Caenorhabditis elegans: one gene and its partners. The protein of the gene in region 1 purifies or fractionates together with the protein of each later gene. This does not show direct contact. Each region holds a gene or a part of one and is shown in the gene's direction. Other genes may lie near its edges. The genes, in order: metl-1, R04E5.9, trm-1 and tag-72.

Region 1 (6,783 bases):
GAGAAGCTTGTAGCTGAAAGTTTGAAATTTTTTCGGATTCATACCTACTTTATTTAAAAAATTCTATGAAATGACCTAAATTAGTGTCAAAATATAGAAATCACTTGATTTATCAGAAAATAACATTTATTCCAGCTGAAACAATGGATAAAAACCTCAAAAATTACAAAACAATTTTTTAGTACTTTCTCCAATGTTTTAGCTGAAATTAATAGTTTTAAGATAAATTTAAATCAAGTGATTTTTTATATTTTGACACTAGAAAATGCCTGATAAAAACCTACATCAACTTCGGCGCAGTCCGTTTCCTCTTCACATGCTTCAACATAGAATATCTCCCTGTTTCAGGATTTGGTCGTTCAATTGTGTAATTTAATGAAAGTATTCTCTGTCCCATATCATCGTCTTCACCTCCCCACGCCCAGAATTGATTTGAATATCCATTAACTGCACGATAATCTGCCATTGATACTGCTAAAACGCCTCCGACAATCTCCTTGTACCACAATTGATATCCCAGATTACTGACAAAAGCTCCAAGATGACGTGGACCAGGTGGGCACGAATACGGGTTCCGATCGTCTTGTGGGAACATGTCGACGTCGTGGAAGACTACACAATCGACTCCAAGGCTTTCTGCGAAGATAAATGCAGCATTCATAATTCGGCCTTTGTTGAACAAGTCGTTTCCATACTGAAAATTTAATATTTTTATTTAAGCATTGCTTTAAAAAAATTCTTACTTGTTCAGTAACAATGAATCGAAAATCTAGCCGCTGTCGTTGAAGTATTGGAATCAAAAAGTCGATCAATCGAGTCAAGTGAGTTTGCCTTTCTCGATATGGAATTATCACTGCGATTTTATCGCGAGCCTGACAATCATCCGGTTTCCATGAGCCACCTGGGCCAAGTTCTGGATGAATTGCGTGTACTTCTCCTTCTTGAAGATTTTGAATCAAAAGTGTGGCTTGTGGAAGAGCGCCTTGAAGATCTGGTATTTTCTCAACTATTGGACAAGATCCGTCCTCTTCGGCGCTGAAAAAATAAAAAAAACGTTTAGTTTAGATTCACAATAATCACTGAAAAAACTTACATTTTAACCGGTGGCTTTGGTTTTGTGACGGCTTCTTCCATATTTAAAAATGTTAGCGTCTGTCGAGCAATTTCCAATTCAACAGGATCCTTTATATCGTGTGTTCTTTCAGCGACTCCGCTGTTTTTTGATTGCTGTACATTGACATTGACAGATCGAACTTGCTCTTCAGTCGCTGCTATCCTGGAGACTATTTAATATTTAGTATCTCACATTTATAAAAATATATCAAAAACAAACCTTCTTTCATCATTTAATGTAGAATTTCTGAGTAGCATTACATAGATTAGTGTGGAGGCGGCAACGAAAATGATAAGTCGTTTCGGAGAAAAACTACGTATTATGCAGTGTGAGGTCCTCATTTTAAGTAGCTTTTACCGATAAATCAATGCATTTGAATTCTGAAAATTGGAAATTACTTTTTGAGGGGATCAGAAAAGAAATCCGGCTGTAAATAGAGTAAATAGGTGTTGAGGGGAAAGTTATGTGACAGAATAAGAGAAAAAGAACGAATGCGTGGCTGTGAGAAGTATATTCAGAACAACTGCAGTGGTTGTCCGGTCTTTTTTGTTGTAAGTGAAGCAACGGGAATTGTTGTGAAGAAGGCGAGAGACAATGCGAAACCTAGGAGACGCCGAGAACTCCCCAACACGAAAGTTGCGCACGAAAATTGATTGCTGGCGCAAATCGAGTTACGCTTGGCGCACTTCACGATCTTCTCATTTTTTTATTTTAATTTTTTTCCTTTTATAACTTTAAAGTTAACTTTCAGTAAATATAACTTTTAAATTATTAAAATTTAACTTTTTAAAATTAAATTGCGCATTTTTCAACTACCTCAATGTATAATTTACGTAAATATTTACATAATTTACTCGTGATTTTCAGCAAAAACATGGACATAACTCCTGCGCTGACAGAAATGGAATTGGATCACAAACCTACTTGCGAGACAGTTCCAGGGTTGCCTCAAAAGAAGCATTATCGGTTAGTTTCTGAGAAAACTAAAGTTTAATATTTAATAAAAAAGGATTTCAGGCAGCGAGCTCACTCGAATCCTCATTCTGATCATGACATTGAATATCCACTGACTCCAAACCAGTGAGTAAAATTAAAGTGTTACCTTTTGTTAAATTTTGACAATTTTTAGTATGGATTGGACCAAATATTACGGCGATTACACAAAAGGACGTCAAGTGGATTTTGCAGACATCGGATGTGGTTATGGAGGTCTTTTGATGAGATTGTCACCTAAATATCCTGATAATCTGATGATCGGTATGGAAATTCGTGTGAAAGTGTCGGATTACGTAAACGAAAAAATCCAAGCACTTCGAAAGCATCACGCTGAAGCTGGTCACTACAGAAATGTAGCCGTTCTCCGATCAAATGCCATGAAATACATGCCAAATTATTTCCACAAAGGACAACTTTCCAAGATGTTCTTCCTTTTCCCAGATCCACATTTCAAGAATAAGAAGCACAAATGGCGGATCATCACTCCAACACTGCTCTCCGAATACGCTTATGTGCTTCGTGAAGGAGGTATGAGAGTGACCTTGATCGTACCAGTGATCACAAGTGCAGATAATGGAATAGGAATAGTTTCAATGATAAGAATAGCGTATCAACGGTTGAAAATGTGTCTTTGTGTCCCTAATTCTCGCCATCAAACAATATTTATCATCTAACCGCGTGGCCGTATGCTGCTGCGAGACATTTCATCACCGAACATTTTTCTTGACTTTCGATAGATCTCAGAAAACTTTCCAATCTCTGAAGCTTTAATTGTTTCAAATTTGCACGTAGGCTTCTATCTTCAATTCCCTGCCCAATAAAATTAACAATCCGTTCCATGTGTGCCACGTGAGAACTATAGCTAAGTAGAAACCTGTTCCTTTCTCTGTAGCTCTGCGCACCTACAAGTGCATTTTCCCGCTGTGCCTATTGATCTTTGTTATAACTTTTATTTTTTCAGGTATTATCTACACAATCACTGATGTCAAGGATCTACACGAATGGATGGTCAAGCATCTCAGCGAGCATCCACTTTTCGAACGGCTGACTGAAGAAGAAATGAAAAAAGATCCGATTGTGGAAATGCTCTTTGAAAGTACTGAAGAAGGACAAAAAGTGACTCGAAATGACGGAGGAAAGTGGCCAGCAATCTTCAGGCGACTTCCGAACCCGGCCTTATAATCCCCTCTGCCTACTTCCAACATTCATCAATTTTTCACGAGACTCTCCCTCCTCCTCCGAGGTTGTTATTTAACTATTTTGTTGATTTTGTGTTTTTGTCTGTTAAATGAAATCCAATTCTTCTAATAGTCTGATTTTTTGAACTTATTTCCATCGAGTTTTCAAACTCTACTTATATATCTATTAAATTTAATCAATTATTAAATTTTTAAATCGCATTTTCAGCAGATACTCAGTACTGGGCAAAATGGGTGGCGGTGGCGAAGATGAGTACGAATCACTTCCAACACACAGCGTCCCGGTAAGAATTTTAATTAATTAAAAGAGATTGACAAAATTGAAGATTTCGGCAAAAATTAACCGTTTTCTTCAAAAAATACGTGTTTTTTTTTGAGAAGTTCCATTACGAATTCGGCGCATTTTTATTAATTAAAATTTTTTTATTAAATTAATTTTCAATTAGTGTTTCCCATTCTATCACAATCTAAGATTCAGGTGCACTTGACAGCTGGAGCCCTGGCCGGAGCCGTTGAGCATTGTGTCATGTTTCCATTCGATTCGGTCAAAACGAGAATGCAATCACTTTGTCCGTGCCCTGAAACGAAATGTCCAACTCCTGTACATTCACTGATGAGCATTGTTAAACGAGAAGGATGGCTTCGACCGCTACGTGGAGTTAATGCAGTTGCTGCAGGCTCAATGCCAGCTCACGCTCTATACTTCACAGTTTACGAGAAAATGAAGGGATATTTGACGGGAAACTCCGCGGGACACAGCAATACGTTAGCATATGGAGCTTCTGGAGTTGTTGCAACACTTATCCATGACGCTATCATGAATCCAGCAGAAGTAGTGAAGCAAAGAATGCAAATGGCTTTCTCTCCATACGGATCATCGTTGGAATGTGCTCGATGTGTTTATAATCGGGAAGGTGTGGCGGCTTTCTATAGATCATACACGACACAGCTGGCAATGAATGTTCCATTCCAAGCAATTCACTTTATGAGTTACGAATTCTGGCAGCACGTCCTGAATCCGGAGCATAAATACGATCCGAAATCACATTTAATTGCGGGAGGACTTGCCGGCGGATTGGCAGCTGCTTTAACGACTCCAATGGATTGTGTGAAAACCGTTTTGAATACGCAACAAGCTGCAGAAGCTGATCCAGCAAATAGGCGAATTTTCTTGCAGGTGAGTTTTTTTGAATTCTTCGCATTTTTTTGCTATAATTGAAAAGAATGAATTACAGGCTAGGTATCGTTATCGTGGAATTTCTGACGCCGTACGGACAATTTATTCTCAACGTGGACTATCCGGATTCTCGTGTGGATTACAAGCTAGGGTCATATTCCAGGTAATGTCTAAGATTTTTGATTTTCGTGCCAAAAAATACGGTAACCGGTCTCGAAGCGATCGATTGTTTTGAATGCAAAGGGTCTGCACCTTTAAGAATTACTGTAATTCCCAACTAACGGTTACAGCGAAAAAAATTTAGATTTTTCCAGAGAAAATCTAGAATTTCCGATTTTTTATTTTTTTGTAAAAATCGGAAAACATAAAATTTAGATTTTCTGGAAAAAAAAATGTTCAGAAAAAAAAAACACAAAAATTTAGTTGCCAAATTTTTATGATATTATTCCAATAATCAAGAAAAATTTCGAAATATCAGAAAATCACAATAACAAAAAATCGAAGAACAACTTTAGTAATCCTTAAAGGCGCACACTCTGTTAAATTTAAGAAAATCGGCCGCTTCGAGACCTGGTACAGTATCCGGGCAATAGAAAAACCTCAGTTTAATAATTTTTATTCCAGGTTCCTGCAACTGCTCTCTCCTGGTCCGTTTACGAGCTTTTCAAATTCATGTTGTCTTTCGAAGGAGGTCATTCGAGTTGATAATTTTGATCTTTTCTCCAATTTTTCCCCCAATTTTTCCTCTTTTCCAAGGTTTCTCCTCATATAGGTTAGGTTCAATAGTTCTCATTTCTTTTTGTTGTTTTTTTTTCATATTACTCTCAGTTTTCTATGTTTCTTTTTTTTACAAAACACGTGTCAAACCCGTGCAGATGCCTTCTAGATTCTTTTTGTTGTGTTCTGAAAGTTTTATCGAATCCAAATGATTTCTTTGACTATCAACCTATGCGAGCATTTCTAGTGGAAAAGTGTTCATAATAATTGTATCCCATCCCTCCCTCTCTCATCCCTTTATTATTCGAGACAAAAATTCAAATAAATACATAAAAAATTAGTGTTTCCACTGAATTTATATGTTCTTTGTGCTCCGTAGTTTCACACGGAAATTTGTATCTTGTGTCTATTTCTCTCTTATCTCTCATTTTCTCGTTTTTACTGCGATTGGCGCTGATGTTCAGGCGACCGCCTCGACTTCAACGTCACTTTCTTTCTCTTTCACAATTGTTAGTGATCTTATAATGTCCACGAGGCTGAAGATTTTTCGATTTTTGGCGGAAAATGAGCGAAAAATTCTAATTGTAAAATATATCAAATTCACAAAAATCGATTTTCTTTTCGATTTGACCTTTGAAAAAAAGTTATTTTTCTTCTTCTCACGTCCAAATTTTTTAATCAAAAAGATCAATCGATAGATTACGAAAAAAGGTTTTTAAATTTATTTCTACATATTTTACAATTTTCTTCGAAAAATGACCATCGCTGGATTTTGTGCTTTATCTCTCATTCAAGATCACTGTTGTTGGACAACGCCACAGCATTGTTCTGTTGCAGAGCTTGGTAATTTTGGCATAATTTGTTGATTGAACTGCCTCTTATTACACAGATTCACAATTTTCCGATTTTTTGGTCAAAGGTTACGTATCTGGTCTCAAAGCGACTGGTTTTCCAATAGAAAGAGTGTGCGCCTTTAAAGAGTACTGTAGTTGTCAACTCGCGAATTCTCTCATAAATTTTAAAAGATAGCACTTCTGAAAAAGTTATGAAAATTGATACAGTACTCCTTAAAGACGCATACTCTTTCCCAATAAAGCAAAGCGGTCGTTTCGAGACCCGATACTGTACTTTTATGCGAAAATCGCCAAATTTTGCATCTACCTTATGATAAATCGTATATATTTTTTTTCGCTTGAATCTTATTCCTTAAATTTTTTTTGTTAAATTAAATTTTCCAGGTACCATGCCTTGCCCAACTCAAGTCTCTGGTCGCTGTGTCGCCACGACTGCCGCCGTTCTCGCGGGAGGAGCTCTTATTGGATACCTTGTAAGTTCAAGCCTTCCCCTGATGTAGCCTCTTCAATTTCACTAATTAATTTCAGGTTGGTTACAAGTTCGGACAGCGTTCGGCTCGCTGCAACTACAAGATCCAGCTCGACTCGAATAAGATCGTCGACACCGTCGATATTGAGGATATTGGAGAGAAGAAGGCATTCTGCAGATGCTGGAAGAGCGAGAAGTGGCCATACTGTGACGGATCACATGGAAAGCACAACAAGGAGACTGGCGACAATGTTGGC
Region 2 (9,769 bases), on another chromosome or scaffold:
GAATAAAAAAAATAAGTTGACGTTAAATCTAACAAAACTCACAACATTCATAATAATAACAGTGCACAGTAACCGATTACCATGACATCTAATTGGGTAAATTGCTGCCGCATGCTTTTTCTCTCTTTGTGATCCTGCAAATTCACATAAAATTTGGTCTTTGATAAATAATAAAACAGTACCTGATTTCATCAAGATACTAAGTTCTTGCGGTGTCAAAGCCATTAGTCCCAATGTCAATCCGGAACACAGTGCTGATATGGAGAACAGTAGGCATAAAATTGCGCACTGAAATATTTTAGTTTAACGAAGGTAAGAGTTTTACAATTTTTTAATTCGAAAGCATTTGAAGGTGGACTACGGCTTATGGGGTGGCCAAAACATTTTCAAAAATATTGGTAAAAGTGATTTCTAATCAAAAAGCACTGAAAGCTCTGTTTTTATCAATTTTTTAGAAGTCGTCGGGTACTTGTGTATTATACCCCCGCCATTTTAAAAATTAATCAAATTTCCAATTAATTTATCCGTAAAAATTAAACGTGATGCCCATTTTCTTCGTAAACCTTAGGAATGGTGTTTTCCTAAGCATAAAAATACAAAAGAATTTCACAGGTTTTTAATTTATAAGTTAAAAAATTATTTTTTTAATGGCGGGGGTATAATACACAAGTACCAGTCGTCGGGAAAAAAATAATTTGCTTTGTTTTTTATTTAAATTGTGTTCAATATATTTATATACCAACATTGTAGACGTTAAAACATTTGCAACACTGATCTATAATTGAAATTTGGCATTTTAAGGAAAAATGCTAATAACCATCTCATGGTTGTTTACCTGAGCCCAAACAGGCATGAAAGTTTCATGAGTACTCTGGACAGCTTGAATCCAGGTTCTATCGTCATCGATTTGTATTAGTCCATGACACTCTGATTTTAGACAAATTCTCCATGGCTGGGGCCACCTGTAATTTACAACTAGCATTAACGAGTTCAAAATAATTGCCTTACGCTACGAAAGCATATTTAAAGACTATTTTCATATCTTTATGAATGTAGAAGGTGCTTTCTGATACATTAAACTCGGATGTCACGCAGACAGAATCAGTAAATGTCACCATTTCAACCTGAAATCAGAATGTGGAAAAGTTGGTATAGGCTGATAAATACATTTTCTAGTCCATGACCAAAAATCACAAGATCCACTTCAGTGTTTGCCTCCACCAATAACTCTCCAGCATCGCTGAAATTTTGTTACATTTTGTCGTACACCCTCGTCTGGTATTTTTTATCCCATTGTATTTAGTGCATTATCTAATTTTCTCTAATGAAGCTTTATTCTAAAGTAATGTAAACACCCAGATGAAATGCCATTATGACAATATACAAGCTTCACGTTTATGTCAAAACATGCAATTGAATTTAATTGAACAATGTAGTCCTTTCAATCAATAAAAAAGATGGCATTCCGTATGAAATACTTGTAATTACTTTAGTGCAAGTTGTACTGTGTATTAGAAGGTTCCTCATTTCTTACCCATATCCTAAAAATCCTGACGCGTCTACATCGCTTTCAATCCGAACTCCTGATACCACTGGCCGTATTTCCTGAATTTCCATCAATGTTTTTTTGTTTTCCTTTACGAAATTTCTCACCAGTTTTCCGTCTATGCATACAATGTGTGCACAGAGCAAAAGTAAACGTAGAAAAACTTTAATGATCATCAAATTAGACGTGGTATAGTGTGGTGGCGATAATGAATAAACGAGTGGTGAAAATGAAGAAAGTGCGTATCAGTAGGGGGCACTGATAACAATCTAGGTGGTTCATGTCTATGTGACATGAATGCTTGTTTTGGGGCTCTTTCAGTTTATGGGTGTCTAGAATCAAAATTTGCATGTGACAGGCTAAAGACAGGTTTCGAAGTGTTTTATCAATTTTGCATCCAGTCAGAAATTTTTGTTTAAAATATGATTCGTTTTTTCTCCAGTAATGCTTTTTGCCGGTTCATAGGAGATATCTTTTGTTTTGGGATAGGAAAGTAACTTTTTGGTTTCTCCTTTTTTTTAAAGCATAATCTATGAGTATTGGTGTTTTTTTATTTTAGTTGAACGTTCATTAATGATGTGACTACTTATTCAAAGCAAATCCAATAACTTCCACTGAAATAAAATTTCGGGATATTAAAAAAAATACAGCCTTATATTTTTTTGTAATTTTGTCACAACATTTCATGTTCATTTGGCATGACGAACAGCGAATAACTTTCATTTTTTAGACTATTTCGATCTTCCAGTTCTATCATCATTTTTGATATCCCTTATTTTCTTGATGACATTTTTGGGCAGTAGACGTGTCTACGCTGAAGGTTTGTTGTCCTATGAACGCGGGAATTGCAATTTTTTTCTTTTACGCTGAAAAAGTAATTTAAATAATGCTCTAGAAGTTTTCTCATCAATATTCGTTTGTCATGTTCGTTTAAGGAAGAAAAATTTAATGAAAAGTGCCCAGAATACATCTTCTCGGGACAAAAAATGCCAGTCCCCTACTTCATCCCGATCATTATTGTTTTCGTATCAAAAATTCATCAACCCTCACGTCAACATCTTGCTTTCATCGCCAGCTCGCCATTCTCAATTTTTCCTTTTTCTGTCCGCCTTATCTCACGTGCGCGCGCGTCCCGTCGTCCTCTCTGTTTTTTTGTAAATGTGAGTGTGTGGCAGAAAGCGAGGGTTTATAGGGCATTGGCGAGAGAGTGTGTGAAAAAGAGAGTGTGTCTTCGTTGTGTCTGAACACGCGACGCGCAGGGAGAGGGACGCAACGCGGTCGCTTCCAACTATTTTCTGTGTTCCTGCGGTGCGTGTGTGTATGTGCGTACCCTGCATCGATTTTTGGCTCGAGTAGTGGAGACGCCGAGAGTATGAAGTAGGTTTTTCCTCTAATGTTTAAATTTTCAAATTAACATTTCTTATTTCTTTCAGAGAGTTCATCAAAAAAGAAGAACCGATTTTCGAGGAGGAAGATGCGCATGTGCTGGGCGACGATGAACCAGATGGAGATCTGCCAGAACTTCCAAAGTAAGAACACCAGGAAAGTTAGCTCTTTTTTTACTTTTTTTTATTCAGAATTGCTGCTCGGCAGAGAAAATCAAAGATCGTGAGAAAACAAGGCAGGAAAACGAAAAGGAAGACTCGAAAGTCAAAGACAGGAGCAACAAAGCGAAGGAAAGGAACTAAACGACGACGGAAAACCACATCAAAATCGTTAGACAAAGGGGAAAGTATTGGAAGAGTCAAGCGATACGGGCGAGAAAAGGAACAAAAGCTTCATATTCGCCAAAAGTAAGTTTTTGAGAATTTATAAAGTAGTTTCTCAAAAAAAAAATCAGTAATGCTAGAGATAATAGAAATGTGACATTAAAAACTTGAATTATTGAACTCCAAAGCCAAATGCGTCGCATGCTCCCGAAATCATATCGGAATCAATTTTTCACTGGTTTTCTTCCAATCGCATATGAGCAGTGTCGTCCAACGTTAGGGTACGGTGATCAGATATCAGCTTTTCGAAGGGCAGTAACACGCTTGTAGTTCGGTCATTTCCTACTCGAAAAATTGTTGAGGGCTAATACATAAAGACATTATGTTCAAGCTTGCTGCACTGTGGTTCTGGTAGTCAGTCGCATTTTTCTGGCGATGCTCATACCGTGCAAGGCATTGCACTATTTGAACAGTGACGCAATCTAGTTGAAACTTGAATTTACCGACACTTCGACTTCTGAATCGGTCGTCATTCTACTATCACCCAATGTCCTGCTTCTAAAAAACTATGCTTGTTTAACAGAAGTTAATTTTATCTTCTGGTAAACGAGAAGCAGAAACCTTTCCATAACTACTGGAAATGTATCGAAGAAAACAGTTTTCCGAAAAATTATATGTGGAGGGGCTCGTACTGTTTATCGAAAGTTAATTCCAATTCAAAAGAAAAACGTTTAGCTTAGCAATGCAGCAAAGATACAACTTCCTGCACAATTTAACTTTTTGTCAAAAAGAAAACTGAAATCCTACGAAACATACATATATTCTGCAATTGACTTCAATTATATTCTTCATCGAAGTTTCACTCAAAAATTACTACATCGTGACGGCTGATTTCACGAGAAAAAGGAAAGCAGCACGAATCTATTTTCGATTGCTGTCACATGTATTTTTTGTTTTCAAATTTTTACAATCACTCAAAATACAGAAAATAAAATTACTACAGAAATTTTTATGTCTACATAATCATGTTAATCTGTAAGCATTTAAAATTCTGCTGTCAGAAGAAGCGCCACAAGAGTTTAAATATAGCTTAAAATTACGCAGTATTTTTTAATTTTGAATATGACTAATAAAATCATAGCTTAGCGTTCACATATTCTGATCGCCTACTAATTTTTCTATTTCTGTGATTCGGAGTATGATGACTTTCTGTGAACAATGTTGCATTTTTCATAACTCTCGAACTTATAGGTTTTCTGCAGATACATCCTTTTCAACATTAAAAGGTGGCCTGGAAAAATATATTTAACTGACGAATAGAAAACTTCTTTGAGGTTTATTGAGAAAAAAAAGCTCAAAGAAGGAATAACGGTTCAAGATATCTGTTTCAATATTTTAGTTTGTAGTATTACTTTGAGCTTGTTGAGAAAAAACCCAGAAATTTTCTCTCTCTTTTATTCTCTCTCTTTTTGAGCTTATTTAAATTAATTGTTAATATTTGCGGACTGTTAATAGCCAAACGATGATAAAAAATTGTTTACACCTATACGCAGTTTCAGTTTATAGCGGGCGATTGTTTTTCGCAGCACAACTCCAGTCCCTGTCTCATTACAAATTCATGAAGATAGTAGAGTTGGAACACAACCATTTATTTAACATTCGTAGGCAATCGCCTGAAATGAAATGACGTGAGCTTTAGCGCACAGAAAATTGGGAGCACGCAAATGATGAATGGTATCCATCAATCTCAAACACCGATATTTCGTGACGTTTTTCTTTTCGTGAGCCTATAATTCAATGTGACGTGGCAAGCGCTCTGAAATTATATATTACATCACTTCCGGGTTTAGGAAAATTCGAGGTCTGAATATCAGATCCTGAATTTTGAAAAAAAAAACGTAAATTTTTAAAAGTTGTTACTTGATGAATGTTGCACAAGAATTCTTCTTTAATTCTCATATAGAATTTATTAGAATAACAGAAAACCTTGCTGATAAATGCAATGTTTGGAATAAGCCAAAACATTAGCTGTCCTTCCCTGGTCTGAATGTCAAGCTCAATCTGATTGATAAAGTTCCAATTCAATTAACTAAACAACTTTTTTCAAAAAAATGTTATGATCAGATCGTATTCACAAAGTGCATCAGAAAACAGGGAATACGGGGTTCCTTGGCCTTCATTCCGAGATGACAAACTTTTTGGTGGCAAAGGTTCTTTGGGGGCAAAGTATCCAAGGAGACAAAGGATCCAGTAGACAAACTGGGGTGTGTCTTGGGGGGCATATCTTTGGTGACAACCTTTTTTTCAACTAGATTTTTATATGTATTTTTCAACTAATTTTTGTTCAAATTTTTCTGGAATAAGTTTTTTAATGCAATTTTCAATCGATTATCGGTTATAATTCCCTCACAATTGAATGTATGAACGATGGTCTTTTGGGAAAAGCTGTAAAACGTCCAACTAACTTGGAATATCGTGAGGCTCTTCCTGATGGCCTGATCCTTCAGATAAGAAGGATCGTAAGGGTACCTCCTGATGGTCTGATACTTCAGCTCCAAAGGATCACGAGGCTCTTCCTGATGTTCTGATCCTTCCGATCCGAAGGATCACATGGGTACCTTCTGATGATCTGATCCTTCAGATAAGAAGGATCGTAAGGGTACCTCCTGATGGTCTGATCCTTCAGATCCAAAGGATCATGAGGCTCTTCCTGATGTTCTGATCCTTCAGCTCCAAAAGAACATGAGGCTCTGCCTGATGTTCTGATCCTTCAGCTTCGACGGATCATATGGATTTTTGACAAAATTTGAAAAAAAATTTGAAAAAATTGACCATCAGGAGGTACCCTTACGATCCTTCTTATCTGAAGGATCAGAACATCAGAAGGTACCCATGTGATCCTTCGGAGCTGAAGGATCAGACCATCAGGAAGAGCCTCACGATATTCCAAGTTAGTTGGACGTTTTACAGCTTTTCCCAAAAGACCATCGTTCAAACATTCAATTGTGAGGGAATTATAACCGATAATCGATTGAAAATTGCATTAAAAAACTTATTCCAGAAAAATTTGAACAAAAATTAGTTGAAAAATACATATAAAAATCTAGTTGAAAAAAAGGTTGTCACCAAAGATATGCCCCCCAAGATACACCCCAGTTTGTCTACTGGATCCTTTGTCTCCTTGGATACTTTGCCCCCAAAGAACCTTTGCCACCAAAAAGTTTGTCATCTCGGAATGAAGGCCGGGTTCCTTTCTTTGATGGAAAAAGAAATTCACGAATTTTCGGCTTTTACGTCTTACCGTTTTTGAGAGCTATGTATCGTCAGTCTTCTCTTATCTACACAATTTTAATCATTAAAGCACAATTACAATACTTGCTACAGAAAAATAATTGTCGAGGGAAGCACCGATTTTTTTGTGAATCTTTATTCTAAAAGCCAAAATCATGCTTACCCCAAACATGTCATAACATTTAATTATTTCAGCGATGATGTCATTGTGGTCGATGAGGTCCCAAGTGCAGATAAAGTTCCCACTCCACCTCCTGCGCCTGCAAAGCCTACGTGAGATGCCAAATTTTTATCATGCTAAATTATAACAATAATCCCCTTTCAGGCCGTCGAACATTCTTGATCAAATCCTTTTCGCTCAGGAAAAAGTTCTTGCTCCAACTGATACCGCAAGAAAGTCGTTCACCAAAAACAAAATCCTTCCAAACGAACGACGCAGTGTTTGGTTTGCTTCTTAAGCCTTCTATTTTTAGAATGTTCCCTCGATTTTCAGGTAACTTCGAGATGATGTGAGGCGTGAAACACGACTGGTCCGCCCTCTACGCATAGTCTTTTTCATTGCACACACACACACACACACACACAAACAAAAACAGCATATATACCCTGTGCCCACGCTCATTTCCTTGAATGCACACCACGTCTTCGACGCCGTGCTGCGCCAACACGAGGCCCTGTGCCGTCGATGTTGCCGCCGTCGCCCCCCCCCCCCCCTCCTCTAATGCGACCGACTCGCGCCCATCTTGTTTTTCTTCTACTCATTTTCTCTACTCGATCGCCGCTCACACGCACACTCTTTTATTTTCCTGTCTGCGCCTCCCCTCTCTGTTCGCTCCTTTTCAGACTGCCGGTTTTGGTGAGCTGGTGAGTGCGGCGGGGCCAACGTGATCCGTGTGTAAGATGAATAGAGAGATGAGAAGGGCTCGTCGTCGCTGCACGCGGCGTGACTCGGTCAGAACTCTCGTTCTTCTCCCTTTTCACGGATCAATGGCCACGATGCGTGCGCTCACAGTGGGTATCTCATGGCAACGCATTGCTTTGCTCCGCCTTTTTTATCGACAGCAAAATTTGTCTTTCTCTCCCGTCAACTCTTCTCATCTCTTACTGATACCTACGTGTATACTTCATTGTTCCAAATACTGAATGTATTTCTTGCTCAATTTTCGAGTGTACCATTTATACTCCTTTTTTAATTTTCTCAAACTCTCTGAATGCTTTAAAATATGTACATATCATAAATAAAGTTCATTTCAGGTGAAAATGCACGGACACGACAGACCGGGCTCATCGTCCGGTGGATATTTCAACCCGCCAAGAAACAATCAATATCATTATCCAGAGAATCATCATCATCCCTACCCCGAAAACATAGCTAACTTGGTACCGCCATCAAACTTCCAGGCCATGCATTATAATCACAACTACATGGCTCATGCGGCTTCCATTGCTCACACGTACGGGGGTTATCCGCCTCCATATCCATATCAACATCCTCACCAGCCGCCGCCTGCACATCCACATCATCTTCAGCATCCACACCCCTATGCATATCCTGGATACCCTGTTCCTGGTCAGGAAGGCCACCAAGTGCCGGCACCACAACACGGTGATCATGAAGCAAGTCCACCGCCTCCTCCACCACCCAGGAAATCAAGAGCTGGGGGATCGTCGCCGCCACCCCCACCGCCACCAAGAGTTCCGCGGACACCCCCGCCAAGAAGCCCTCCACCACGGAGACCACCGATGACTCCACCATCACCGCAACGCAGACCACCGAGAACTCCTCCGTCTCCGGAGCCACGGAATCCGCCGAGGACTCCTCCGTCGCCTATTCCACCACCACCACCACGTCTAAACAGTCACGATCGGAGAGCATTGAGAGCACGTCGTCCAATGGTTCATCGTCCGGTAGGTTCTCTTTTTGATATCATTGAGTTTTCGTAACTGAAATTTGAGAACATTATATAAACAATTTTTCCAGTTTACTGGTTTAACAAAATATTTTTTCAGGCTCCTTACGGTCGCCGCTCCATAAGTCAGGGACCTGGAAGAAATAACGACGACGTAAGTTAAACGGTTATGAATTCTAGTTACAAACTTACAATTTTTCAGTGGGGAAGTCGCGAGTACGGAAAATATGCCGAGCGTCTTGCAAGCACAGAGCTGAAAAAGCTGTAGGTTTTACAATGAAGGAGTAGAAAGGATATATGGATTTTGCAGGCATCTCGAACGAGAAGATTACAAGCAAGTTTTGCGAGTAGTTGCAAATGCAGCAAAAACCTTCCGATTTGATGATTTTGAAGTTCGGTCTCATCTGCTATCCGGATACCGTTTCTACATGAATGGAGAAGATGCAAACGGCACAAAGCGTGAGTTAATAACTTGATGTTCCTTTGACTAGGCTGCAATTTTCTCTGACTAATTGAGCAGCAAAATTGTTTATTTTGTTAAGTATGATACCCAGAATAGTTTTATTTAAAAAAAGACTCATCTTCTATGTATCAAAACTTCTATCTTTATATCATTTTATGAAATTATTTATTTCAGAGTTCTCCATCCCACATAATATGGATCGGCCACCAGCCCCTCGTTACTGGATCATTGATAATGAAGTTCGAAGCAATCCACCATCGCCAGTTTTCCGTCCAGAAGCTTCGTTAAGTCCATCGGTCAATGTTGACTACGGAGAGGGGTCATCGAACCAAGCTGCACAAATGTTTGAGCCGGGAGAAGACCAAACTGCGTTCTATCGAAGACTTTTGGCTGGGTTCGCTGCACAAGGACGGACATTTGGACAGCGAGAAGGAGAGATTCCAGCCATATACGGAGCCGACGGTCTTTTGACAGAATGGGGATACGAGCTGCATCTCTTAAACCAAGCTCGACAATTAGAATCGAAGCCTCCATTGGTTCATTATGAGGAGGTTGGATTTGATCGTAAAGACGACGACGAAACGTATGAGCCCTATCAGGGCGGCCAAGCTCAGCCAGACGGATCTCCAAGTGAGTACAGCCCAAATCATGTTCGCCGTGGACCAAAAACTCCACCAGAGAGAGAAGAATCTGTGGAGTTTTCTCCGGGCCATATTCCAGTCGGCCCAAAAACACCACCAATGCCCGATGAGAGTCTCGAAGACGATAAGAGATCACCAATAATGGATGGTAATCAATTCGAGGAGATGGAACTGTATCCAATGGACCCAGAACAAGAGGTTTCGATGAA
Region 3 (7,411 bases), on another chromosome or scaffold:
AGGACGAAAAGCCGTTTCGGAATCGTACGAGAATCGAATACATCGCCAGTGAAGGTGTTCTGAAATTCAGTAATTTTTTTTGTAAAAATCAAAATCTTATTCTAACCTTAATAAATTCCTCACTCAGACCTTTTCCTTTGGAATGAGCAGAACTATGTGCAAATCCATCAACAACTTCTGCTAAAAGTTGCGAAGCAGGCAGTGTTATATTATCCAATTGTTCTTCCAACCATGACCTAATATTTATCTGGAATGTCTTATAAACCCCCGCAGCTTGAAGTGCATGAATTGTTCGAAGAGCGTACGAGCTCTCGCCATTAGAGCATTTTGTGACAAGTTGGCAAATACTTCTGAAAGTTGAAATTGTGCTGTAAATTCCAAACTCTAGGTTTTACCGCTTAGCAACCTCCATTTCTGTCATGCAACGTGATGTGAAAGTGTTTTTCAGTACAAGAACGTGATTCTGACGATTAACAAGCTCAACTTTTTGTTTCATTCCATAACTTGCAAACTCCGAAAGCTCTTCGATTCGAGAAGACATTATACACGAGTGAACATATATCAGATGCGATCCAAATGCTGATGTGACCTGAAAAAATCGGAAAATTTTTATTTATAATTAAGTTTTTTAAAAGGGTGTCTTCTGATTTTTCATAAAAGGTAATTTTGAAAAATCATATGATTTAAAAGACAGGGAACAGGTTAATTACCTAATATAATTGTTAAAATAATTTAGAATGTTTAATTTTCTATAATTTAGAGCAAAATATTTGTTTTGACCCTACTGCACCTCTAAAAAATTTCGATTAATCTGAAAATAGCGTTAAAATATGTCTTTTCATATTAAAATAATAGGTTTTTGAAAATGTTTTTTCTATGTTAACTTTTTAAACATTTTTTCCGATTTTTATGTATATAAATATTCGTTTTTCGACTCTTTTTCTAATTTTTTTTAATTCGACATAATCTCCTCCATAATTGAATATTTAGAGCAAGATCTTGTAGAGCTGTAGCCGAACGATACCTTTTCCCCTGCCAGAACTCTCCTTCTTGACACATCAAGCCAATTTTCAACAGCTCGATCTGGTGGTTGAACTGCTCCCGTTTGATTAGGCGGATATCTGGATAAATTTTAATTAATTAAAAACTAACATCTTTTCTAGATTACTGTGTGAAAAACGGGACGGCGAGCAGCGCAGACAGTACAAAACATTCATGAGCATCTCCGAATGGACTGGGCTCTACAGCAGTCCTTTGGGAAACCGGTATTGGTCTTTGAGCCGATTGTGTTGATTCAGGATCCGAATCAGGAACAACAGAATCTTGTGAACAGTGAGCTTCTTCACGAAAACTCAAATCCATGGCTTCATCCATACCAGATATTGAATCAGCAGAGTGTAATATTGAGGATGATGGATTTGCATCAGTTCTAAACAAAAATCTAGTGACAGTAATAATTTCTAGTTCAGTCCAAGGTTCCAATGCAGAGTTCATAAGTTCCACGAGACAATATGAAAGACGAGTGCACCATGGAGCAGTTCCCATTTCAGAAAATGATGTGGATTCGGGACGTGGCGAAATAACAGTATCTGCCATATTGAGAAGACGTGCAATTATTAGTGGAAGAACTTGTCGATTGGAACTTCGAATTACCATTTTGTATATTATGGTTTCTTTATCTGTCAAAAGTGGTTCCATGAATTCTAAAAACTGTCTATCATTCAAATGATCAACAGCTAATCTGCATGCAAAAACACAATCCGATCGTTTTTCGGAATATTTTTCGATTATTCGGCGTGCAAAGTATGGATATAGTTCGACGATCTGAAAATATCTACTTTAAAACTTGAAATAGTTTTTTTAATTTAATGTGAAAGCTTACTTTTCCTATAACCAAATTTCTATATCTTGTACGATTTCCTGGTGTTGGATTGTTAGTCAGAATATTGACAATTGTGACCAAATTTTCAGGCGTTTCGATTATAAGCTGAAATATTTTGAATTTTTCATGACAACGCGAGAAAATGAACCAACATTTTCAATGACATCTGGTCCGTGTTCAAAGAGAAGTGCATTTATAATTTCTTCGACTGTGAGTAGCGATGGAAGATAATTCTGAAGCATCAATATTTGATTTGATATCTTTTCCACTGATAATCGATCGATCCATGTTGGTTGTGAAGACATTGATGCGTCGTTGTCTGGAAGTTATTTGGATTTCATTCAAATAATCATTTCGCATTTTCCTTGGAACTATGGGTGAGCGGCAATTCTTCAAGATTACCTATTACAGCTAGGTATTTAATTTTGCCGAATTGCCGGAAACAAATTTCCCAATTGGAACATTCAGTGCCACGAGTTTTTTCAGGCTTATTGTATTCTTTATATGCAATTCAGTTCATTTCCACCTATGCAGCAGATATATCTAATTTGTGAAATTCGAATCCTACGTAGTTACATACGTTTTTGAATATCCCTAACTAAATCCACGATTTCATCGATAAATGTGTCTTTATCTTTTTTCAACATCATTTCTTCAGTCATTTCTACTTCCATTGGTTCTCCGGCTCCTTCTATTCCTCGGCTATTTCCTCGTTTTCTTTGATGAAACGCTGGAGATGAACCTCCATCCGATGATCCTTCAATATCTGATGCCCCATCTAAGTTTTGCGATCCCGATGGCCTATTTAGAGATGCAACTCCGCGAGTTTGCCTACTCAAAATATTGAGTCGTTTTAGTCGTGATGCTACTAGATTCCAATCGACTTTTGCGTGAATTGAGGAATGAATAGTACATGGATCCAAAACTGTGATCAACGGAGCCAGGAGTGCATCCTGAAAAATATAAAATTATGAATGTATTGTAATATTCTCCTACCGGCAAATCAGGATTAACTTTCCCAACACTTGATTGAACAGCAGCAATCTCGAAGTAATTTTTCTTTCTTTCCCAAAAATTCTGAAAGTTAAATAATTTTAATTTCAGCGAATTTCAGGAGTAGCTTACATTTATTCGAGGAGTCAAGCATTTTTCTGCTTTTTCTACCTCCATGACACTGAAATTTGTGTATTCCGCCTCAATTAAAATGGTTTTCTGACGAAAGAAACGTCTAAAAATGTGTGCAGAAAAATGTTTTTTGCGAAAAGGGAAGAAACGCAAGTGCGCTCCAATCACAACTTTTCTCGTGTTGTCCTCTCGGAGTTCTCTAATTCGTATTCGCTTTAATTTAATCAAGGACAAAAACGTTTTTTATTCTTCCTTCGCGCAGTATTTTTTCCCGAATTTTGCAAATAAAAAGTAGAAAGGCAAGCACTGCACATTTAATCTTAAAAAAATCTCAGTTTTTAGCAAATTTCGCGGTATAAAATGACCGAGAATGTCAATTCATCTGGAGATTCGGCAATAAAAAGCGAAGATAAAGAAGAAGTGACAGTTATTCAGGAAGGTTTGTTTTGAGTTCAAATAGAATTAAAAACAAATTAAACATTTTATTTTAGGACAGGCAAAAGTAGGTTTCCATGGACCAGTTTTCTATAATCCAGTTCAGGAGTTTAATCGCGATTTGACGTGAGTTTGTGTCTGAATCTCAGTATTTTAAGGAAATTATCTTTCAGAGTAACAGTTCTTCGTCAATTTTCTGCTGATCATCAAAAATGGGCAGAGGAACAGAAGCAATTGAAAACAGAAGAAGAACCTCCGAAAAAGAAAAATAAATTGGCTATCAATGAAGATGGCAAAATCCGAATTCTCGATGCGCTTTCTGCTTCGGGACTGCGAGCATTGCGTTTTTCGAAAGAAGTTCCCAATGTGGGATTCATTATGGCAAATGATTTCTCCGATAACGCAGTTGCTTCAATTCAAGAAAATGTGAAATTGAATGGAGTCGAGGATATAGTTGAAGCACATTTCGGAGATGCAGTGTAAATTAGTTTTTCTTGATTCGAACTTTAATCTAAAATTAATTTCAGTATGACAATGATGGAACATCGCGGTATTGATAAACGATTCCATGCTGTTGACCTGGATCCATATGGAACTGCTTCCACATTTCTAGACTCGGCAGTCCAATGTGTCGCTGATCGTGGAATTCTGATGGTTACGTGCACTGACATGGCTGTTTTATGCGGAAACACTCCAGAAGCATGCTACAACAAATACGATGCAGTTACCACTAGAATGAAGTGTTGTCATGAAGTTGGACTTCGGATTTTACTTCGAGCAATTGATTCTGCAGCCAATCGTTATACAAGATATATTGAGCCATTGGTGTCGATTTCCGTTGATTTTTACGTTCGAGTTTTTGTCAGGGTACACACAGGAGCTTTTCAAGCGAAGCAGAGTGGAACGTGAGTTGACAGAAAATTTAAGTTTCAAAATAGCTAGATTTAAATTTAATGAAGAAAATTTTCAAAATTGTGAAAAAAACAACTATTTTTAGCTAAAATCTCCAATTTTGTCAATTTTTCTGTTTCAAAGCTGTTGGAAATTAACTTTTACTATATCTCACATTATTTTATTAATTAATGGATATTTAAAGCCGATAGGTAACCAATATCATTATTTGATACCTATCGACTTAAAAAGTGCATAAATTTATAGAGTAACGAGATTAACGATGAAATTATGCAATAGATGATAATAATCAAGTAAAGGTTAATTGACAACCACTGCGAAAGGAAAAGTTGGCAAAACTACAGGTTTTAATTAAAACCAGCTCATTTTCCCGAATTTTTGAACCGACATTGGTTCAAAATCAAGACCGTAAATCCATTAGTTCTCCTTTAATTAGTTAACATTAAATTATATTTTTAGGAAAGTCGGAACTGTGCTTGTATGCTCTGGATGTCATTCAATGGAGCCATTAGTACTGCTTAAACGAGGAGAAGGAAATCAACAAAGCAAATATTCAATTCCAACAGTCCGTCATTCAATCTCTGGTCCAGGCAATCGATGCATCCATTGCTTACTTCCACTCCACCAAATTGGTCCAATTTATCTTGCTCCAATTCACAGCAAACCGTTCGTCACTTCCCTTCTGGAACGTCTGAAATCTACTCCTGAAGCTGAAAGACTTGGAACTCACGGACGTCTTCAAGGTGTTCTTACGATGGTCAATGAAGAACTGGATGATGTTTTATATTATGAGCACAACCAAATGGCGAATGTTGTGAAAGTTTCCGTTCCAAAATCTCAAAGTGTGAGATCTGCGATTTTAAATGCCGGTTTCAAAGTTTCTGGATCTCACTGTAATCCCCGTGCAATCAAAACAAATGCTCCGATGCACTTGCTATGGGATATTTATAGACAAGTTGTAAGTCTCATAAAAACAGTATACGATTCACAAATAAATGTTTTTTCCAGGCTAAAGACACAAGTGTGGATCGCGAGAAGCGTCTGGCCAAAGAATCAGCAGGATATCACATTCTCGGACAACCCATCACCAACACAGTCAACTTCACTCTTCACCCAGGAGCCATCGAACAGGCCAAGAAAGAGAACCTTGTACGGTTCCAATGCAATAAAGGGAAGAATTGGGGCCCTCGCCAGAAAGCAAAAGGATCAGTGAACTCGACGAAGGCAGGATTTCAATTGACCGAGCACAAGGAATAATTTTTAATTTTTAAAATTGTTTTTTTATGAGCGTATTTTATTTTTCAAGTTATATTGTTGTGTTTTTTGTTGTTGCAGTTTGGATAAATATATCCTCTTCTTATTTAGCGCACTTCTACTTATTTTCAGATTGAGGAAAAATCGATTAACATTAGATTCCAAAGGGATTCCCACATTAGTAATTCATCAGCCAAAGAGAATTGATTTATCTTATCACTGTGCCATCTCTTATCGTTTTCATAACATATTTCCCAGAAATGAGAGCGGTTGGCTCTGTTTAATCGATCATCAGAGAATGATTTTACAATATTTATACTTCGCAGTTCTGATACATTTATCTATTTCTACAAGAATTCAGTTATCGTGAGTTTGTTCAGTTTTTCCGATTTTAAAGCAAAAATACAGGGCCGGGTCTCGCCACGAATGATATATTTTTGAAGAAAGTCTGTACAAACTGGTGTGCGCCTTTAGAGAGTACGGTATTTGCATGGTATTCTCCTTTTTCCGTTTATCTATTTGAAGGCAGAACTGGAACGCTGAAAAAAGTATGAGAATAAAAGAAATAACGAAGAAAACTGCAAATTGAAAATATTGTACCTTTTAAAGGCGCAAGTCTTGGTGTTTGTTTAGTTGGAAATGTTTCATTCGTCGCTGCAAGACCGGATACCGTACTTTCGCATTGAGAATCGAAATATATTGCAACAGTGTGACTAAAACTCTTGATTTGTTTTGTTCAGAACTGGAACAATCGAAGGGAAAATCTTGAATGCTACTTATTCGCCGTTTGGAAATCAAACTGCTACCGTATTTTTGGGCATACCATACGTTGAACCTCCAATTGGAGAACTTCGATTCCGGAAACCACGTCTTCTGAAATCATGGGAAGGAGTTCTAGAGACAAAGGATTATAAGCCTGCGTGTATGAGTTATTGGAGGAAAACTTTCAAAAATGGATTTGTTGGAGAAATTTCAGAGGATTGTCTATACGCAAATGTGTTCACAAACCAGTATTGCTTGCAAAATGTCAGTATTATACAGTCTTTGCAATTTTTCACATGATGCTCTCGCCACGAACTACGCCAGAAGGCGTGTGTCCCTTTAATAGTACAGTAACCACTATACGGTTCTAGTAATAACGAGGAAAAAGGGGTTACTGTACTTCTCAAGGCGCATATATATTTTCAGCGGTTACGATTAGAAAACATTTGATGCACCGTGAGAACGGTACCGTCTATTTTAGTGGACAAACGCAAAACTTCTCTCTCAATTTTTTTTTCAATATTCCAGAAAAACTGCTCCGTAATGATTGTGGTACATGGTGGACGACTTGTTTGCGAATCGGGTTCCGCATTTAAACCTGAAATTTTTATAAACAATTTTGTGGGTCAGGACAGAAATATTGTAGTTGTGACATTCAATTACCGCCTCGGAGTTTTTGGATTTGGAGTATTTAATGGAGAAACCGGGGATACGAATGTGGCAATGTATGGTACGTGTAGTTCAAGTACAGTGTATTTTTGTACACTTATATGACTTCAAAGGAGAGCGCATTTTTTCGAAATAGTCCTGCCACTTGCCACTTATTGGTCTCGTCACGCGCTTCAAAAATCAATGGCTGGCGCGTGGCGAGACCATTCCAAATGCGCCCTCCTCAAAGAGTAACAGTTCTTGCGCGCCGAAATTATTTCATGAAATGGTTTATTCGAGTTACAAGAGCTATTTAATTTCGGATTTCTTTTCCTCTTTGTCATCCTTCTTTTCAGCATCTTTCTTCTCGCTCTTCTTCTCCTCATTATTAAA
Region 4 (7,174 bases), on another chromosome or scaffold:
TTAATTTTTAGCTGTAAAAGTTGGATTTGACAACCGAAATTCTGGAAGAAAAATTATAAACTGCTGGGAAAATGTTTTCAGCCAAAAAAAAATCAGCCAGAGGTGGAAATGTTTAGAGAATTTATGAAGTATTTTTCTAAATTTCTAAATTAATTTTTGGTTGTACGACCTGGAATTCAATACAGAAAATTTGGCAGACAATTGGTACGGCTGCTGTCGAAATGTTTTCAACCAGTTTTTGAAACTGTTTTTTGACTTTTTTAAAACAAAATAAGAATTATATGCCGAATTATCGCACCGAAATGGGCAGTTTGTAGATTTTTTTCTAAATTTCTAATCGTTATTATGATAATTCAGACAGCTTTAAGTCCTACCCCTTCAATATTCGTTTTTTCAAACTAAGTGTAACACAATATGAGACAGAAAAAAAAATAGAAAAATAAAACAATGAGTCATTCAAAATATTACATTCATAAAGTATATTTGTGTCAAAACGGTAAAACAATTTGTTTGCATTCGAGCCTTCACATTCTTCCATTCACATTTCAACTGTAGTTATTTTTTCTTGATTTCATTATTACGCTTGCTTTTTCTCAGTCTATTATAAATAATTTCAGAAGAATGGAGGAAATTCTACGTCAGTTTCTATCATCCTCAAATCATTCACTCAAAGATTCACCATTTCCAATGATTCCTTTGTCTTTTGATACTTCAATTATGAGCCCAACAGAATGTCAACAGCCAAAACCACAACATTCATATATTGGACTTATTGCAATGGCAATTCTTTCATCACCACAAAAGAAAATGGTTCTAGCAGAGGTAAAATACAGTTTGGAAATAGGGAAAAATGTAGTAGCTCAGGAGAAGTTTCATGTTTTTGTAGCTGAATTAATTAGAAGATTCACTAGCCAAGAAAATTGTAGAAATCATAAATTTTATTCCGTGAATATGTGGAATTCCCAAATCAGCTCAAATTAAGTTCTCCTATGACGCCATTAAATAATTTGGAAATTTAGCTACAGTACTCGTACAGTACCCCAACAGTACCACAACAAGAACCTAATTAACCAAAAAGTATATTTATAACTCCAAAGACTACGAATCTATGAAAAAATATATTCATGATGATATTGGTGTGAATATTAAAAATATATGGAAAAGTTCGAATAAATAAATATTTGCAAAAGTTTTATGCAAAAAAGGACAACCAATGTATGGGCGGAGCTTTATTATGATTTTTTCCGCTTGGTAAAACCCTTTTTGATAAAACTTTCGAAATAAAAACAGAAACCGTTCATATCTTGGTTTTTTTGAGTTTTTGCAAATATAGATGCAATTATGATAATTTTTTTTTAATATAAAGAGGATGCTTGTCTTTAGATCGATAGAAATTCTAATTTTCAGGTATACGAGTGGATAATGAATGAATATCCGTACTTCAGAAGTCGTGGAGCTGGCTGGAGGAATTCAATCAGACACAATTTATCATTGAATGATTGTTTTGTAAAAGCCGGTAGAGCTGCAAATGGGAAGGTTTGTTTCAGTATTTTCTATAGGAAGTATACTACTGTTGATGTCGATTTTTGAAGACCAAGTATTTTCACGGCTTTCAGAGGTTAAGTAAAAATAAGGACACTCTGATTACTCATCAGTTATTATGTAGTCATCTAAATATGAGAATTTTCGCGCATGGGTCTCGCCAAGAACCTTTTCATCAGTTGTTTAAAAATTCAAATGTTTCAGGGTCATTACTGGGCAGTCCATCCTGCATGTGTCAAAGATTTCGAACGTGGAGACTTCAGACGTCGTCGTGCACAACGAAAAGTTCGCCGTCATATGGGGCTGCAGGTTGAGGACGGAGATTCATCAGATGAGGAAGGTTCACCAGGTTCTGATCCATCACCTCCCATCTTTCCAACAGCTTTATGGAATTTCAATTGTGCTCCGAGAGCTCCGATCAAATCGTTCACTATTGAAGCAATCCTGGAGCATCACTAGAAAGAATTCCACGTGGATCTCCTAAAACTTGAAGCTCAATTGTTAAATTAATTGTTTCTTCCGTTTCCTGTTACCCTCCAATTAACTATTCTCCCCCTGTCTCTCCAATTCCTACGGGCCCTTCTGTTCTCTTTCTCCCATGCAGCCAATTTCCAAATTTCCTGTTTTCTGAAGTGCAAGCATCTGCACACAGATTTTCCCTGTTCATTATTTCAATAATTTATCCACTAACATAACAACTTGACGGGAATAAACATTGAAAGTTAAAGGTTGTGAGAGGAAATTCAGGGGGTTCAATGCCGTATTTTTTACATTTCTACGCCAATGCGGCGAAGAAATGAGTAGGAAAACGCAGGATTTTCAGGTATTGTACAAAAAGAAGGGAGCGCAAAGCTTAGTGGGATTAGGCGCGGGAGAAAAATAAAAGTAATTAATAAAATTTGAATTTTAAAAAGAAAAATTGAACATGATGAAAGAGGTATTGGATGCATTCAGGAAAAGCGGTGAAGCTGAGGGATTCGGACAGTAAAATATATTCGGATAAAACAAGAATTAAATCATTCGCAGCCTCCTTGTGCCGCCGACTTCGATGTTTGAAGAAGTGACAGAGTTTCAGGCTCATCATCAGATGAGGCATCGCTTTCTGAATCACTCGATGGATCATATTCACACAAAGCCTGCAGTGCTCCAATTTGCTTGATCACAGGTTCAGGTTTTGAAACTTTTGAAGACACAACATCTTCCTGTTTTTTCTCTTCAGTGCTTCTAAAATATCATAATTAAATGAGGAAATTCGCTTTGAATACTTACGTTGACTTTCTCTTGATCGCAGTGCTCAAAAATGCGGCTTGCTTTGATTTCGGGGGTCCGAGAACTTTTGATGTCGACGGTTTAAGAATGAAACGAGACGAGGATGGCTGATTTGCGGCAAGATGTTGAGTGACGGCAAGCTCTTTAATAAGTTCTTGCTCTTCTCTTTTCATCCGCATTTTAACCACACGCTTTGTGGAATCTAGTTCCGACAGAAAAACGCTTTCATCCTCATCGATACCTCGGACCATATTCTCTGGAAAAAACTTCTTTAAAAATAATATTATTTTTATAAAACTCACTGAGCTTCTTAGCTTCGTCGATTTCCAATTGTTTTGCATCTTTATTATTTTTTAATTGCTCGAACAATGTCTTATTGCAGTACTCCGGTTCTGGAACCACTGAAAATCAATTGCGTTGCCTGTACAAAAAATAAAAAAATCTTACAAGTAGCGTCAGTCGGTTTTCTAATCTTTTCCCAAGCTTCTTGACGGGCTTTTTTCTCTTCATCGAGCTCCGAAGTGCTGACGAATCCACTAGACATTATTACAACTGAAAAAATTAACAGATGAAAAGGAAGGAAGAGTTAATAGAGAGGAGAAAGAGAACAAGAATACAACAGAATGTTTAAGAAAGAAAATGACGAATAAAAATATAGACGGGCACGCGGGAGAGCCGACCTAGACATTTGCAGCGTTCTCAATATCGATTGGACCATTACAGCGTTCAGTTGGAGCGATGTATTGCTCTTTGGATGTTAGCGCACATTCAAAAATCGATTGTCTTATAAAACAAAAAAAATTGTGCCAAGATTGACTAATAAATATCAGTTTTACACTGCAAAAAATATATTAAAATTTATAAATAATGGATTAGTCCACGAGGAGTACATACATGAAGGACTAAGTTTGACAGCGCGTTCGGCCACGGCCACTAGCGAAAAATGTTCGAATTCGAATATATTTTTTTGATATTTACTCAGCGCTGTAATTTTAATTTCCTTGTTAAAAAAGCACATAAAGTTATTATTTTCAAATCCAATTTTTCAGCAACAAAATGAGCTCATCAGAAGTGGCCAGTCACTACAACAAAGTTCTACAGGTTGGCATCGAAGGCAGGAAAGAAAGTCGTATTTTCTTTATGAGAAATATGAATAACTGGGTGAAGAGCCAACTTATCAGTAAGATATTAAATTTATAAAATAATTGTAAATATTCTACTGTTTGAAATAAAAAAGTTATTTTGCGAAAATTGAGTTAGAGAAAAAAACTGTTGTTTTTTCCAGATGATGCGAAACAGCGTGTTAACGATAACGGCGTTAATAATCCAAGAGTCTTAGATTTAGCATGTGGAAAAGGAGGAGATCTCAAAAAATGGGACATAGCTGGAGCAAAAGATGTTGTAATGGCAGGTATGAACAGCTGGAATCTTTTAAAAATATATAATGCTACGGTTCAGATGTCGCCGATGTTTCTATCCAACAAGCAGAAGAACGATATAAACAAATGTTCGGATATAAAAAGAACAACATTTTCACTGTTCAATTCATTGTCGCTGATTGCACAAAAGTGAGTTTTCATCCTGAATTTAGCAGTAAAAACTGAGAAATAGCAATAAAAAGCGCAAAAATTTCAGGAGAATCTGGAGGATCGTATTGAAAACAAAGATCCATTTGATTTGGTCAGCTGTCAGTTCGCCTTGCATTACTCGTTTGTAGATGAAGCTTCTGCCAGAATATTTCTAAAAAACGCCGTAGGAATGTTGAAACCCGGAGGAGTTTTTATCGGAACACTTCCAGATGCTGATAGAATTGTGTAAGCAAAATTTATACAAATTTTTCTTAAAAACCATCGTAATTATTTCGAATAGAAACGTTTATTTATCCACTATTTTTCAGTTGGTCGATGCGTAACGGAGAAAATGGTCAATTTGCAAACGAGGTGTGTAAAATCACATATGAAAACGTGGAAGAGTTGGCTGAAGGAAAAGTTCCACTATTCGGAGCCAAGTTCCATTTTTCACTCGATGAGCAAGTCAACTGTCCTGAGTTTCTGGCATATTTTCCACTTGTCAAACAGTAAGTTTTCTTCACTTATAATAATTTTGGCACATTGTCGGAATGTTTTTTGGAATTTTATATAAAAAAATAGAGAAATATCTGTACTTTCTGACGGTAACTTTACTTTTAATTAAAAAATAAAACATTTGCTCAAAAGCTACCACGAACGTCGAAATATGGCGGGTGAAAATGCCGATCGGCTATTTTTCTATATGAATTTCCAAAAAAAGCTTCGACACAACGATGAGATCAGAGAAAATTTTTTAAAAGTACAGAACGTCACAGGCCGCATATCTCAAAATCCTCTGATCAGAAGCTATATTAATGAATTCATATAATTCAAAATTTCAGCCTGCTCGAAGAGCTTGACATGGAGCTTCTTTTCGTGCATAATTTCGCTGAAGCAATCAACAAATGGTTGGAACCAGGACGCCGACTTCTCGAATCAATGACAGGTCTTGAAACGTATCCAAATGAGAAGCTCAGTGGAAAATCCGACGACGAGTACCTGGAGGCAAAAGCTAAACTCGACGCATTTCCAGAAGATGAGAGAATCAAGACGATGGGAACACTTTCAAAATCTGAATGGGAAGCTATCTGTATGTATTTGGTGTTTGGTTTCCGAAAGAAGAAGTCTGAAGCTGAGAAAACAGAAGAAGAACCAGCTACCACGAAGCCAGTTGCTGAATCAGAATCAGAGCAGAAAGAAGTTACTGAAAGCGAAGAGAAAGAAGATCAGGAAGATTGTGAGCATCAAGAAGCTCAGACAAATTAGGAATATTTCAGTTGATCTCAATATTTCAATTTTAATATTATTTTATCATTATGTTCTATCATTCATTTTGCTATTTATTGTTCATCTCAAAAGTTCATTAAAAAAATACATTGTCATATTCAAATTCTAGTTCAAAAGTTCAAGATTTGATATCGTCATCCTCTTCTGTTTGAGTAGTATCGAGCGGAGGAAGGTACTCCTTCTTCTTCTGAAAATGTTAACTTTTAAATATGCAACTATTCTCTCTTTCCTACCTTGGCAACTCTGTTCGAAGTGTCAAACGATTCCTTATCCGATTCATCAGTGCTTGAGGTCTTCGGCGGAGATCTTTCACGAACAACACGCATTTTCTTAGTCTCCGAATTGCATTGCTTCGTAAGGCAAAGCTACAACATGAAATTTAAATTATAATCTCAAAAACAGGGAATAACGAACCGGCGGTGCCAGAACTTTTGGTGGCTGCTTCAGAGATCGAGAACTTCCGCCTAAATGGGAAAAGAAATATATATAGTTTCAAGATTTTTCAGGGTCTCGCCACGAACAAAATTGTTTGAAATCAAGACCGCGCAAAAAGGTTTGCGCCTTTAAAATGTACAGTAACCCACTTCCCAAATGGAAACATCGAAGAAAGTTGGGAAGTGGGTTACTGTACTTTTTAACGGCACACGCCTTGTTCGTAGCGAGAGTTGAAAAATCCGAAACTGTCTAAATTCCTTACGTTTCTTCAAACTTGGATCTTTCTGAACATTTTCATCACTAGCAGTGTTCGTCTTGGTCCGAGTCTCTGGTTCGATTCCTTCATCTTCTCTTGTCGGCTGACAACCGACGACCTTTGGTTTGTTAAACTTTTTCGAGAAGGAGTTCGAGCGTTTCTTGGATTGCTTCTTGGATCTTGATTTTTTATCATATCGCGACTTAAAAACATATGAAATATATAAGCTATTGAAAATATCCTGAACCTACAGTAATTCTACTTTTTCCACACAAGAATAGAAGAGATGAAACGAATAAAGCAATGAAAAAGCTGAAGATGAAATTACCTGGAAACACCATTGTTATTCATAAAGCAATCTTTCCAAAACTTACTGAACATTTTCAATTCTTCAAATGTTTTGTGGAGCATAAATTGTAAAGTTGAGAAATGTTTCGAATTTTGAAAAAAATGTTATCTATGCATTGAATCTGTGATTCACGTTTTTGAAGAGGATAAAAAATAATGTGACAAATTTATTAATTGAATATAATTACTTAAAATCCTAGCGGAAATAGAAACTAAAAATATTATAGTTAGTCACGTTTTCTGAAAACCGTTCCTAAAGGAGCACGGATTTGTTCGGATTGGTTTCGCCACGGGAAAAAGTTTATTGTATCAATTTTGAAATGTTTTGTGTCTTTTATTATGGATTTCCGTGAGCAAATTTCGTGGTTTTTATCGATTTTTCTTGATTTCGTGGAGATTTTCAAAATTTTTAGAATAAAAATACAATTGACATTTCTACCATAAACTTTTTCGTGGCAAGACCCTATGA

The links.
Region 2: the proteins of metl-1 (region 1) and R04E5.9 fractionate together in Caenorhabditis elegans (co-fractionation; one large-scale study listed by BioGRID). This does not show direct contact.
Region 3: the proteins of metl-1 (region 1) and trm-1 fractionate together in Caenorhabditis elegans (co-fractionation; one large-scale study listed by BioGRID). This does not show direct contact.
Region 4: the proteins of metl-1 (region 1) and tag-72 fractionate together in Caenorhabditis elegans (co-fractionation; one large-scale study listed by BioGRID). This does not show direct contact.

What each region holds. Positions count from the first base shown.
Region 1 is NC_003280.10:11,468,768-11,475,550, reverse strand, and holds metl-1 (tRNA (guanine-N(7)-)-methyltransferase), read left to right. Parts: upstream 1-1,975; 5' UTR 1,976-1,988; coding exon 1,989-2,080; intron 2,081-2,131; coding exon 2,132-2,194; intron 2,195-2,243; coding exon 2,244-2,638; intron 2,639-3,071; coding exon 3,072-3,292; 3' UTR 3,293-3,416; downstream 3,417-6,783. Other genes in the region: ngat-1 (Beta-1,4-N-acetylgalactosaminyltransferase), read right to left, coding at 1-13, 285-694, 744-1,035, 1,094-1,276, 1,334-1,455; slc-25A37 (Mitoferrin), read left to right, coding at 3,540-3,593, 3,782-4,486, 4,533-4,649, 5,111-5,191; cisd-1 (CDGSH iron-sulfur domain-containing protein 2 homologue), read left to right, coding at 5,959-6,046, 6,442-6,530, 6,586-6,783. UniProt on the Caenorhabditis elegans protein: Catalyzes the formation of N(7)-methylguanine at position 46 (m7G46) in tRNA.
Region 2 is NC_003284.9:8,804,143-8,813,911, reverse strand, and holds R04E5.9 (uncharacterized protein), read left to right. Parts: upstream 1-2,769; 5' UTR 2,770-2,918; coding exon 2,919-2,923; intron 2,924-2,979; coding exon 2,980-3,075; intron 3,076-3,123; coding exon 3,124-3,339; intron 3,340-6,741; coding exon 6,742-6,819; intron 6,820-6,871; coding exon 6,872-6,991; intron 6,992-7,039; coding exon 7,040-7,043; 3' UTR 7,044-7,254; downstream 7,255-9,769. Other genes in the region: Metal transporter cnnm-2, read right to left, coding at 43-134, 183-288, 836-962, 1,009-1,124, 1,168-1,240, 1,535-1,605, 1,654-1,722; R04E5.8 (JmjC domain-containing protein), read left to right, coding at 7,807-8,454, 8,557-8,610, 8,659-8,720, 8,767-8,915, 9,094-9,769.
Region 3 is NC_003283.11:14,181,426-14,188,836, reverse strand, and holds trm-1 (tRNA (guanine(26)-N(2))-dimethyltransferase), read left to right. Parts: upstream 1-3,227; 5' UTR 3,228-3,306; intron 3,307-3,349; 5' UTR 3,350-3,367; coding exon 3,368-3,446; intron 3,447-3,498; coding exon 3,499-3,568; intron 3,569-3,615; coding exon 3,616-3,921; intron 3,922-3,969; coding exon 3,970-4,347; intron 4,348-4,813; coding exon 4,814-5,312; intron 5,313-5,362; coding exon 5,363-5,611; 3' UTR 5,612-5,713; downstream 5,714-7,411. Other genes in the region: ints-2 (INTegrator complex Subunit homolog), read right to left, coding at 1-59, 107-350, 396-589, 1,025-1,121, 1,169-1,824, 1,883-1,987, 2,035-2,201, 2,463-2,835 and 2 more; ZC376.8 (DUF236 domain-containing protein), read right to left, coding at 7,328-7,411; cest-2.3 (Carboxylesterase type B domain-containing protein), read left to right, coding at 5,907-5,974, 6,349-6,634, 6,899-7,100. UniProt on the Caenorhabditis elegans protein: Dimethylates a single guanine residue at position 26 of most tRNAs using S-adenosyl-L-methionine as donor of the methyl groups.
Region 4 is NC_003279.8:10,158,570-10,165,743, reverse strand, and holds tag-72 (mRNA cap guanine-N(7) methyltransferase), read left to right. Parts: upstream 1-3,860; 5' UTR 3,861-3,867; coding exon 3,868-3,991; intron 3,992-4,096; coding exon 4,097-4,222; intron 4,223-4,269; coding exon 4,270-4,379; intron 4,380-4,446; coding exon 4,447-4,625; intron 4,626-4,708; coding exon 4,709-4,888; intron 4,889-5,221; coding exon 5,222-5,645; 3' UTR 5,646-5,762; downstream 5,763-7,174. Other genes in the region: fkh-10 (Fork-head domain-containing protein), read left to right, coding at 622-822, 1,408-1,536, 1,747-2,001; C25A1.1 (FAM192A/Fyv6 N-terminal domain-containing protein), read right to left, coding at 2,559-2,766, 2,812-3,067, 3,114-3,212, 3,259-3,355; F16C3.4 (uncharacterized protein), read right to left, coding at 5,785-5,853, 5,900-6,031, 6,081-6,130, 6,364-6,559, 6,609-6,685, 6,732-6,738. UniProt on the Caenorhabditis elegans protein: mRNA-capping methyltransferase that methylates the N7 position of the added guanosine to the 5'-cap structure of mRNAs. Binds RNA containing 5'-terminal GpppC.